3 linked regions of the Ovis aries genome follow. The protein of the gene in region 3 purifies or fractionates together with the protein of the main gene of each other region. This does not show direct contact. Links are inferred from orthologs where the notes say so. Each region holds a gene or a part of one and is shown on either strand. Other genes may lie near its edges.

Region 1 (3,648 bases), on a different chromosome or scaffold from region 3:
AAGGCGCGACTGAAGTCTCATTTTATAGGTCCCCACCCCACCCCCACTGTCCAAAAGTAGAATGTTCCTAGGAAACTTTTCCTTAAGTTGAGATGGCATAAAGTGAAGAACCTTAGGACTCATCTTACTAACAGATGCACAAAACAAACTGAGATAAAACACAGGTGCTCAAACACCGTGCAGGCTGGGGTGGCTGGACACTGAGATGCTGTGAGGTTCCTGAGCTTGGTGGTGCCAGTCTTGCTGCAAGACAAACGCTGAACACTGTTTTGCTTTATGCCTTTCTTCCTATAAAAGCAAAAATCCTCTTGGGATTTCTTTTAATTAGCAAATAGTGGTGGTATAGTGGATGTTTCTTAAAAGTGAGGTGGCATAAAGTGAACTTTCAAAAAATGGGGGATACCTGTATATCTAACACCTTTAAGTATGAGAGCATTTTGAATCAGATGTAGTCAATGAATTTCATGTAAGTCAAAATGAAGACATTATTCGAGCAGGAAGTACAACCATTTAAAAATATGTTGTTCAGGGTCTCTGTGTATCAAGCTAACTCAGATGTTTTAAAAGCCTTTTTTTTAAACAGAGTAAGTGAAATATCTGTGGCTAAGGAGTTTGGGATTTGTGATAACTTTGTAGTCATATAAAACTTAAGTGCTTTATGCCCCTCCACATGTGGTTATTCTAATAAATAGAGAAGTGAGCCCCCCCCCCCAAAAAAAATTAACCTCTACTGAACTTCACAGAGTTCTAATCTTATCTTTGAACTTGCTAGAGTTTTCTTTAAATTTTTGTATTGTTATAAATTCCCATTAAAAATGTCTTCTCCTATTCAGAAGATAAACATTTTTTTAACATATAAAAAAAAGTTTGGCTGGCAAACAGACTGGTCCTTTACAAAGTCATTTTCCTAGGATTGTAAAAGACACTAATGCCAGGAAAGGCTGAGAGGTCTGTGGTTAAGAGTGTCGGTGAATAAAGTAAAATTGTAACTTACCAAAAAAACCTGTCAACTATGCATGGTGACCCAGGCTCTAAGACCTTGTTTTGTGCTGTCTCCATTGTTCTGTCCCAAGATGGTCAGAAGAATGTGAAAAGGAGTTTAGGAAGAAGAACAGCAGCAATCACTAGTCGATACCTATGATCACGGTCATTGCGGCTTTATCTAAATGACTCCCTGCTACTGGTCCTGCATGCTGTGACATAGTTGTGGGCTAGTCTCCTGGAGCTTCGAGCTCATCACCGAGCAGTGTGCCAGTGTCGAGAGAGTGCCAGTGTCAGGCGGGCTCCATTTGGGGCAGCCGTGTCCTCGCTTAGGTAGTTTTTATGGCACTTGCACTGTTATTTTCAGCTAGACTCAGCCTTTATACAGAGGAGAAGTAAACTGACCTTGTGTTATTGTACAAGATAGCGCTAAAACCAGTGGGAGGAAGCTATTACGAGGAATCACTAATGGCTAGCCCTGTCCAAGTGTACCACATAGTAAGCATCCATTATTAGAGTATTTCAGTTTAAAGAAGGAATTCCTTCATTGGTCAGATTATTGAACTAAATTGATAAAAATCTGCCTTTAAGATTCACACACTGCTCAAGACTTCTTCCCTGGTGGCTCAGAGGTTAAAGCGTCTGCCTGCAATGCAGGAGACCCGGGTTTGATCCCTGGGTTGGGAAGATCCCCTGGAGAAGGAAATGGCAACCCACTCCAGTATTCTTGCCTTGAGAATCCCATGGAGGGACGAGCCTGGCAGGCTACAGTCCACGGGGTCGCGAAGAGTTGGACACGACTGAGCGACTTCACTTTTACTTTCAAGACTTCTGCTTCACAGTTGGAATGTTTTTGTTGTTGTTCAGTTGTGCCCAACTCTTTGCAACCCCATGGACTGTAGCATGCCAGCTTCCCTGTTCTTCACCATTTCCTCGAGTGTGCTCAGACTCATGTCCATTGAGTTGATGATGCCATCTAACCATCTCATCCTCTGTTGCCCCCTTTTCCTCCTGCCCTCAATCTTACTAGCATAAAGGTCTTTCCCAATGAATCGGCTTGTATCAGATAGCCTAACTATTGGAGCTTCTAACTTTGACTCTTCTAGAAACTTAACCAAGGAACATAATCATTATTGTTTAGCAATTTATGGTTCAAGGTAAATTGTCCAAATACTTGCAGATATTTAAATCGGTACATAAATGGGTATTTAAGTCAGTACATAAATGGGTTAGAATATATATGTCAGTTTTCTTCTCGTCAATGTATATTTTCAGGTTTGTCTTCTTAAACAGTGCAGTTTCTCTGGTTTTTTGTTTTTGAAATGGGCGACGTGTTGTTTCATGCCCTTTCTTTCCTTTGCTTCTCTCACAGCGCCATGGAAAGCCATTCGCTCCTCAATCCCAACCTGCAGCAGGGTGAGGGGGTCCTGTCCAGCTTCCGTACCACGTGGCAGGAGTTTGTAGAGGATCTGGGCTTCTGGAGGGTGCTGCTCTTGATCTTTGTCATTGCTCTGCTGTCTCTTGGCATCGCCTACTATGTGAGTGGGGTGCTGCCTTTCGTGGAAAACCAGCCTGAACTGGTGCATTAAAGAAGCTCACGGGAGAGGAGACGGATGCCAGTGTCCTGGCTTCCAGTGTTTGTTCTGGTTCTCAAAATCTCTTAGTGCAAAGCAGCGAGGGCTGTACTTTTGTTTCTTTTTGCATTTTTACACATTGTAATCCTTTTAGAAGAATAACCTGTCTGTTTGAACTAACTACATACTGTAGTCAAGGATGCTGTCCTAAAGCTACCTCCAGCTCAGCCTGACTTCTTAGGAAAGGCTCTGCATAGCCTTATTTGATAAAAATGTGGCATTGACTAACAAATGAGAGAGAGAGGATGAGACTAGGAAATCCTTGCTACAGAAACCTTACCCTAACATAAGACCAACTAGAGTGAAATGTTTAAAGGTTGTCTTATATGATCAGTTGTGGTTGGTAGTTTTGTTTTGTTTTTGTTTATTTTTGCAAGAGCTGCTTTTCGCTATTTACTTTCTCTGGGGAATAGTAGGGTAGGGGGGAAATGAAACCTTCAGCTTAAAACTTGAAGTGCTTTTTTCAGATCTTGTAGCACAAATCAGTATTGTTGGGATCTGTTTGGTTTATTTTAATATTTTCAAGTCTAGTCACAAACCAAACAGAACTTTTGAAAAGGAGTTATATTTTCCTCAAAAATGATTGATTTGATCTTATACTTATTTGTTTTTAAGATGTTTGATTTTTTTTGTGTGAGCTGCTTTGCTTGTTGTTAGTATCTGTGAAAAATGAACTTGAGAATTTTCAATCGAGAAACTTTTAATTTCCCCCTAGTGTTTATTTCAGAGATATCCTATTCATCAAAAATACAGTTGGAAGACTTTGTCTACTCAGTAGTTAGCAGGAATAAATATTGCTGATGTTTAATGTCACTGATTATGGTGAAAAATTCAGTTCTATAAGCTAGCCATGTTGTCATGATTATGTCATAGTTCATAATTTTTTCATTTCATGTGCAATCCTCTTTAGAGGCCCTGTTAGAACTGTCAAAACAATCCCATCCATGTCAGTTGTTCTCTGATGGAAAGAATGGATGGAGCATTCCCGAGTTAGCAGTGCTGAACAGTATTGTACCAGGTGTCTTTATGAATG
Region 2 (2,729 bases), on a different chromosome or scaffold from region 3:
ACTCCTCCACCCCAAGCTTCAGGCAATTTCCGGAAAGAGGCAAGAAAGATGGGAAGGAGGTTGCACCAAGCATCACATTTATTAATACCGCTGCACTGCTTCCTGGCCCTGGAGCCTGCATACTGGCTGCTGGGTCCCCAGAGCAGGCCTGGCTGGGGTGTCTGCCGAATGCATGTGCTGCTCGCAGACGGGCTGAGCCCGACTCCCAGTCACCACAGAGCGTTTGAAGAGAGAAGCCCCCACCTCCTCCTGTGCTGGTCATGAAGTCCTTGGAGCAGGACTTCCCACAGCTTTGGGCGGGGTGGGGTGTGGGCACTGGCCCCGGAGTGGGTCTCTGGATGGAGGGGTGGGGACCCTCCTTTCTAGGTGTGGGAGGCCATGCCCCACCATCTCCCCAGCCTCCTCATTCTGCACAGCCTCCTGGAGAGTCCTGTGATTCCCCTCTCAGGCCCCCGAAGGCCTGTGCACCCTCACCTTCAGAGATGGTCTAGCGATCCTCTTTGTCAAGGGACTGCCCCAGACTTCCAGGCCTGGGCACACGATGGCACTGCCACCCTCACCAGGAGCACTGCAGCACCTCTTGGAGTGTCTTCCGGAGCTCCTGGCTGCGGAAGGCATAAATGAGGGGGTCCACAATGGCGTTGCAAATGATGAGGGCCAGGAAGAGGTTGAAGTTCTTGAAGATGCAGCCACAGGTGGGGTGCTGGGGGCAGAGGACGATGAGCGAGAGGTGCAGGAAGAAGGGGCCCCAGCAGAGGAAGAAGACGCCCAGCAGGATGGTGAGGGTGGCAGCGCCCTTGAGGCCAAAGCCCTGATGAATGGGGCGCTGCCTCTTCTGGAGCCGGGCGATGCCCCGGGCATGCTGGCAGGCCCGGGCCAGCATGTGGACATAGAGGACGGCCATCAGGGCAAGCATGGCTATGAAGAAGCCAACCAGGCACAGCAGGACGACCGTGTGGTTGTAGTAGGTGATGGAGAGCACGCTGGTGAGGATGCTGGCCACCCAGATGGCTGCAATGATCCTCCACGCCCGGGGCAGTGTCACGACACTGTGGTACCGCAGGGCGTAGAAGATGGAGATGTAGCGGTCCACAGCGATGGCACCCAGGAAGCAGAGGCTGGACACCATGGAGCTGCAGATGAGCACGTCAATGACATTGTCCAGCTGCTGTACCACGGCCGCCCGGGTGGCCAGGACACCAGCCTCCAGCAGCAGCATGACTGCCGTCTCCAGCACGTTGCTGACGCTCACCAGCAGGTCGGACATGGCCAGGCAGCAGATGAAGTAGTACATGGGGGAGTGCAGGTTGCGGTTCTTGGCGATGGCGGCCACCACCAGCACGTTCTCCACAAGACTCACCAGCCCCAGGCTGAGAAAGAGCCCATCGGGGATGGACACCTCCAGGCACTGGGGCCCTGTCCGATTGGGGGCCAGTGTGAGGGGGAGGGTGGCTGGGGGTGTGCAGTTAAGGGAACCCAGCAGCCGCCTCTGGGAGCCGAGCACAGGCATCGTCCCGCAGGGAGCAGGAAAGGGTGCTTGCTCTCAGGGTCCTGCTCAACTCATGGCTCCCCTGGGAGGAGCCTCACACCGCCCCCTCCCTGGCTGGACAAATGTCGGCCCAGGCATGGCCCCAAGCTCGTGGGGCCAGCCCTCTGGGTGCAGTGTCGCTCTTCCGCCCTCAGTCCGCCTCCCTGCCTCTTCTCTGGATGTGCAGTTGCCCACAGGCAGACATTTCTGGGCCGCTTGCTTCCTCCTGTCCTGTGGGGACCTCCTGCCTTACCCGGCCGTGGTGGGCTGAGGTCCAGGGAGAACAGAGCCTTCCTTGGCATCTTTAAAGTCGTCACGGAGTCCCTCCTCCTGAAGGTGGCCACATGATGGGCGTGTGCCGGGCTGCAGCGAGGTCCGCCACCTGGTGGCGCAGGCGGAACCCGGGCCTGTCAGACCAAGGCAGTCCGGCCTGTGCAGTAGTTGGTGCTCGGCCAACGGGTGCTCCCGGCGATGCAGGTGGTGGGTGGGGGCCCTGCAGACCTGCCTGAGACCTCCAACCCTCTTCCAAGCCCAACATAAAACCATTACCTCCTCCCTGAAGCCGTCCAATCTTGCCTCAGGAACCCACAGCCTGGCCCTAGCCACCCTCCCCCCAACTCATGTTAAAGGCTGGCTGAGGGCAACCCCGCCCAAGGACTCCCAGCCCCTTCACTGCACTGTGGCTTCTCCCTGGGGTGCGGGGGCTGGGGGTGGGGCACTGCCAGTCCTTCCCTGACAGCCCCCATTTCCTCTGTGAAAGGTCACCACAGCCGGCCCAAAGCCAGCAACCACTTCAAGGACAAACCTTTATCTGCAGCCGCTTGCCAGCCCCCCAGCACTTTCTCACTGAGGAGTGCGTGGTGCTGACGACAAACCCTCCTAGGAGGAGGGTGGGGTGTACAGGCCGTCCCACCAGGGGGTGGCGGGGAGTCAGAGGTGGGCTGATGGGGCTGGCATGCTACGGGCGCTGGTCCGTCAGGGTCTCTCCTCCTCCTGCCAGACGGGCAAGGCCCACACCTGCACCGTGCACCTCCCTTCCCTGTCTAGGACTCACATGGCCCTCTCCTTTGTGGCTCTGTTGATGCTGTTTATTGAAGCACATGGCAGGTGAGAGACAGTACACAAGTTATAAACACGCAGGTTGGTGCATGCCGCATCCAGCACCCTTGGGACTGCAGCACTCCGTAACCAGTCAACCTAA
Region 3 (4,134 bases):
AGGAAGGTTGGGTTCTGGAGTCCTGAAAGGTGTGAAGACTCACTTTAATGTGGACAGTGGTGAATTTACCATCTAAGAATCCTAGCCAGCCTCTGTCCTCCCTAGCTCCTTTATACATATACATATAATTTATTTGTTTGGCTGCGCAGGGTCTTGGTTGTGGCACACAGGATCTTTCAGTCTACCCTGAGGCACGTGTAGTGTTTTAGTTGAGGCATGCATACTCTTGGTTGCACTATGTGGGATCCAGTTTCCTGACCAGGGATGGAACCCGGGCCCCCTGCATTGAGACCACCGCGTCTTAGGCACCAGACTACCAGAAAAGTCCCCCAGCTTCTTTCTTGGTAGAACAGGCTTGTCTTGGGAAGCCACTTTCTTCTCAGAAGAGCCGTTTCTCAACTGAAAAGTTGGTGAAAACAACAAATCCTCACTTGCCTGCTTACAGAGTTTTGCACAAATCAAAAGCCTGGAAAGTACCTTACAACCTGTGAGGAGGCTTTAACTCTAACCCTGGTTCTTTATATTTATAAATATTTATTCAAATGGAAAGTTGGGGAATTCCCTGGCCGTTCAGTTAGGGTCTAACCTGGATTCTTTGAACTTGGCTTAAGCACCCTTAAGCACTCTCTTCTTTGTGCTTCAGTTTCCCTGTCTCTAAAATGGGGAGAGGTTTACTGCCTCTGCGAGGGACTTGATGTCTTCAAAATAACTGTCCTGGACATGGAGACGGAGAGATGCCTTGAGTTCTGGAAAAGGTGCTTCGCTTCCCAAGTGGGCACTCCTCCAAGCAATCTTGGGTTCCACCCCCAGCTCTTCTTTGCCGGGTGGCAGGTGAGGGTCTGCCCTCTGCTGGCCGGGCCAGGAGATCAAACCCTGGGAAGTGGGGAGAACCGTGGTAGCTCAGGGAGGTATTTCAAAGAGGGAGTGAATGGAAGGCGTTGGTTCCTCGAAAGGTGTACGTACGAACAAACTGTTAAAAAGCTAAAGACTTATGATGTTAGTCTCGTGCTTTGGAATGCAAAGGGCTGGATAGTTTGCAGGGTGGTTGATGGTCTCTCCCCTCTGGACTCAGGTCCATTTGGTTTGTCCTGGAGGATTTGTCAACAACTTCGGAGAGCCCGGGCGCGGAGCTTCCTGGGAAGTGTAGTTCCCAGTCGGGCTTTCCACGCCGCCGCTCGGCCCCCACTGCTACGAGGGGACTCCATTTCCCGAGGTGCTTCGCGCCCCGGGGGGGCGAAGGGCTGCCGTGGCGTCGGGCCCCGGGCCGAGCCGGGGGTGGGGGCTCGGGGAGGCCGTGCGCCCGCGGCCGTGGGCGAGCGTCCGTGCGGCCTGGTCCGGGCCATGTCCGCGTGAGGACGCCGCCGCCGCCGCCGCCGCCCCAGCCTCGGCCCGGTCCGCCGCCCACCATGGGCTCCATCCTGAGCCGCCGCATCGCGGGCGTGGAGGACATCGACATCCAAGCGAACTCGGCCTATCGCTACCCCCCAAAGTCCGGTGAGTGGCCGCCCCGACTGCCGCCTCGGCCCCGCCCCGGGCCCCTGCCCCGGGCGCGGATGGCGAGGCGCGCGGGCTGGAGCGCGCGGGGCGGGCAGCGGGCGGCGGGGCCTCGGCGCGGGCCCCGCGGCGGAGGGTGGGCTGGGGGCTCTGCTCGGCTCCGCGGCCTTCCCTGCAGCTTCCCTGTCTGGGGCTCCACGCGCCCTCCACCGGGACCCTGGGGCGAGGGTCGGTCCGGCGCTGACTGCCGCGGCCCGGCCGGGTGACCTTGGGTCAGTCATTTCGCCCCTGCGCGCTGCACTCTCCCACGGCTGCACACCCGGGAAACACTCGATAGGAAACCTCCCCAAGGACCGGGGTGAGATTTGGGGGCGCGCAGCTGGCAAGGACTTAACCCCGTGCCCGGCGCTTTGCTTGCATATACAAAGTGGTCATTGTCACAGGGCTCAACATCGCTCCATCGCCAGTTTTCGCCTTCTTCGGTGGCTCGGTGGGAGACCCGGCCAGGGTTCTGTACGGTACCCCCTCTGTCCCGTCTGGACAGAGGCTTAGCTCTGCTGTGGCTTGGCGCGTGTGTTTAGTGGGTGGGTGGGAAGGCGCTGGGGAGTGGGCCTGGGCCCAAGGAGGCATTACTGTCCTTGGGAGAGGAGCTGGGAGTCCCTGCTGGAGAACCAAGGGATAGTTGGAGAGGACCTCCCAGGTTCTCCAGCTTCCCGTTTTTGTGTCTGAGAGATGTGGGCCACCAGGGAGGAAGTGACTTTACCAGGGTCTCAGAGCTGGACCAAGAGTTCGACTCCTAGGCCAGCTGTCCCCCTCCCACTGCCCCCCACCCCCCAACACACTGTTCTCTTGCCTCTGATGGTGAGAGTGGCCTGACCTGCAGGTTTAGCTCGGGTTCCTCACACTCCATCTCCTCATCTGGTCGTTTGCCCGGGAGGAGGACAGGGCATTTGGGCCTTGTGGGCACTTTCAGACTGGGGCCTTTGATTCAGGCTTCTGCAGCATTGCATCCCGTTGGTGGTTTCTTGGCCTCTTAGTTGGCCTGCGGGCATCCCCCAGGCCAGGTTTCCCCTGAGTATGTCCAGGACCATGGGGAAGCTTGTTTAAGGTGCGTTCCCTAGGCCCTGCCTCAGATTTCCTGGGTCTGCTGGGGGCCTAGGAACCTGCATCTAAAACCCGTTCCCAGAGTGAGTTGACTGTCCACTCAAATTGGAGAACTGCTCTGCTTTCATTGTGGAAGGGGAAAGAAGGCAAGTGTCTGGGACCACCAGAAATAAACAGGGTGGGGACTAGCACAGTTGGGGTCAGTCAGAGCTAGGCCAGAGAGCCCTGTTCCCTGATAGGCATGGGAGGTCTCCATGCCTTCTTGGTCCCTGGCACAGGACCAAGGACAGGAAAGTCCCCACTGGTGTGGGATTCCCTGGAGGCTGACGTTCCAGACCTGATGGAGCAGTTGGTTATTTGAAGTCATCCTCTTCTGTCTCCGATGTTCTTCCTGATCGGCTTTGGCTGAGTCTTCCTGGTCTTAGACAAGCCACCTAGCCTGCTGGGTCACAGTTTCCTCATCTGTAAAATGGGCTGATCCTTGTACAGCGCTTAGCACCTAAGACGTCTTCACAAGTTGTTAGCTGCTATGTTGGCTTATAGAGGAAATTAGGTGATCCATTCAGACTCTTAATAGCAGTTAGCTGTGGCTTGGCAGAGCCAGCAATAAGTTTAAGGTGGTCACCTGGGCCCGGAGCAAACCTCATGTCCCTTCAGTTGGGTACTTGGAGAAGAAATCACAAATGCAAGGCACTTCGGGCACTGCTTTTGCATTCTGCGCAGCTGACCTTGTTAATCAGTCCAGACACCCCTACCGATCCTGGACGCCCGAGTCAGCCACAACTAATCGACTGGGACTGGCACCCAGGTGAGTGCCATGTGCACCTTGGTTTTGCTGCCAGCGAGATTAGTGCCCTCCTGGGCCTGTTCAGTCCAAAGGCTGCCCTTGCTGCTTCCTTCTCTCTCGGGCCACCTTGTTCTGGGAGGCAGTCAGCAACCTAAGCAGGACTTGAGTATGTTTCCTCAAGAGTGGGCTGGGGATGGAAGAAGGGGGTTGAGATTTTTAGGGACCCCTGGACTGTACAGTCAGTTCATGAGAAAGTTGTTATCTTTTCAGGTCTCTGCCAATTTTGTTGATTGTGTTATGGACAAAGAATCATTGGGAGCTAGAATTTGCTTGAGAACTTTTTAAAAAAATGTTATTTATTAATTTGTTTTTGGCTGAGCTGGGTCTTTGTTGGTGCGTGGGCTTCTCTCTAGTTGCAGCGAGTGGGGGATACTCTCAGGTTGGGGGACTCGGGCTTCTCATTGCCGTGGCTCTCTTCTTGCAGAGCGCCGGCTCTAGCATGCTCAGGCTTCCGTAGCTGTGGTTCCCAGGCTCCAGAGCGCAGGCTCAGTAGTTGTGGCGTATGGGCTCAGCTGTAAAGGCAGCCTGCTAATGCAGGAGACACCAGGGATGTGGGTTCGGTCCCTGGGTTGGGAAGATCCCCTGGAGGAGGACATGGCAACCCACTTCAGTGTTTTTGCCTGGAAAGTCCTATGGACAGAGGAGCCTGGCTGGCTACAGTCCACGGCTTGAACCTATGTCTCCTACAT

What was found.
Region 1: the proteins of MGRN1 (region 3) and ANKRD46 purify together in Homo sapiens (co-immunoprecipitation; 3 studies listed by BioGRID and IntAct, counting the BioPlex papers as one, with this or other methods). This does not show direct contact. The link is inferred for Ovis aries from reciprocal best matches to the Homo sapiens genes MGRN1 and ANKRD46.
Region 2: the proteins of MGRN1 (region 3) and MC1R purify together in Homo sapiens (affinity purification with western blotting; 3 studies listed by BioGRID). This does not show direct contact. The link is inferred for Ovis aries from reciprocal best matches to the Homo sapiens genes MGRN1 and MC1R.

Annotation. Positions count from the first base shown.
Region 1 is NC_056062.1:76,768,984-76,772,631, forward strand, and holds part of ANKRD46 (ankyrin repeat domain-containing protein 46), read left to right. Parts: intron 1-2,353; coding exon 2,354-2,570; 3' UTR 2,571-3,648.
Region 2 is NC_056067.1:14,250,511-14,253,239, reverse strand, and holds MC1R (melanocyte-stimulating hormone receptor), read right to left. Parts: upstream 1,511-2,729; coding exon 557-1,510; downstream 1-556. UniProt on the Homo sapiens protein: Receptor for MSH (alpha, beta and gamma) and ACTH. The activity of this receptor is mediated by G proteins which activate adenylate cyclase.
Region 3 is NC_056077.1:4,321,259-4,325,392, forward strand, and holds the start of MGRN1 (E3 ubiquitin-protein ligase MGRN1), read left to right. Parts: upstream 1-1,285; 5' UTR 1,286-1,406; coding exon 1,407-1,494; intron 1,495-4,134. UniProt on the Homo sapiens protein: E3 ubiquitin-protein ligase. Mediates monoubiquitination at multiple sites of TSG101 in the presence of UBE2D1, but not of UBE2G1, nor UBE2H. Plays a role in the regulation of endosome-to-lysosome trafficking.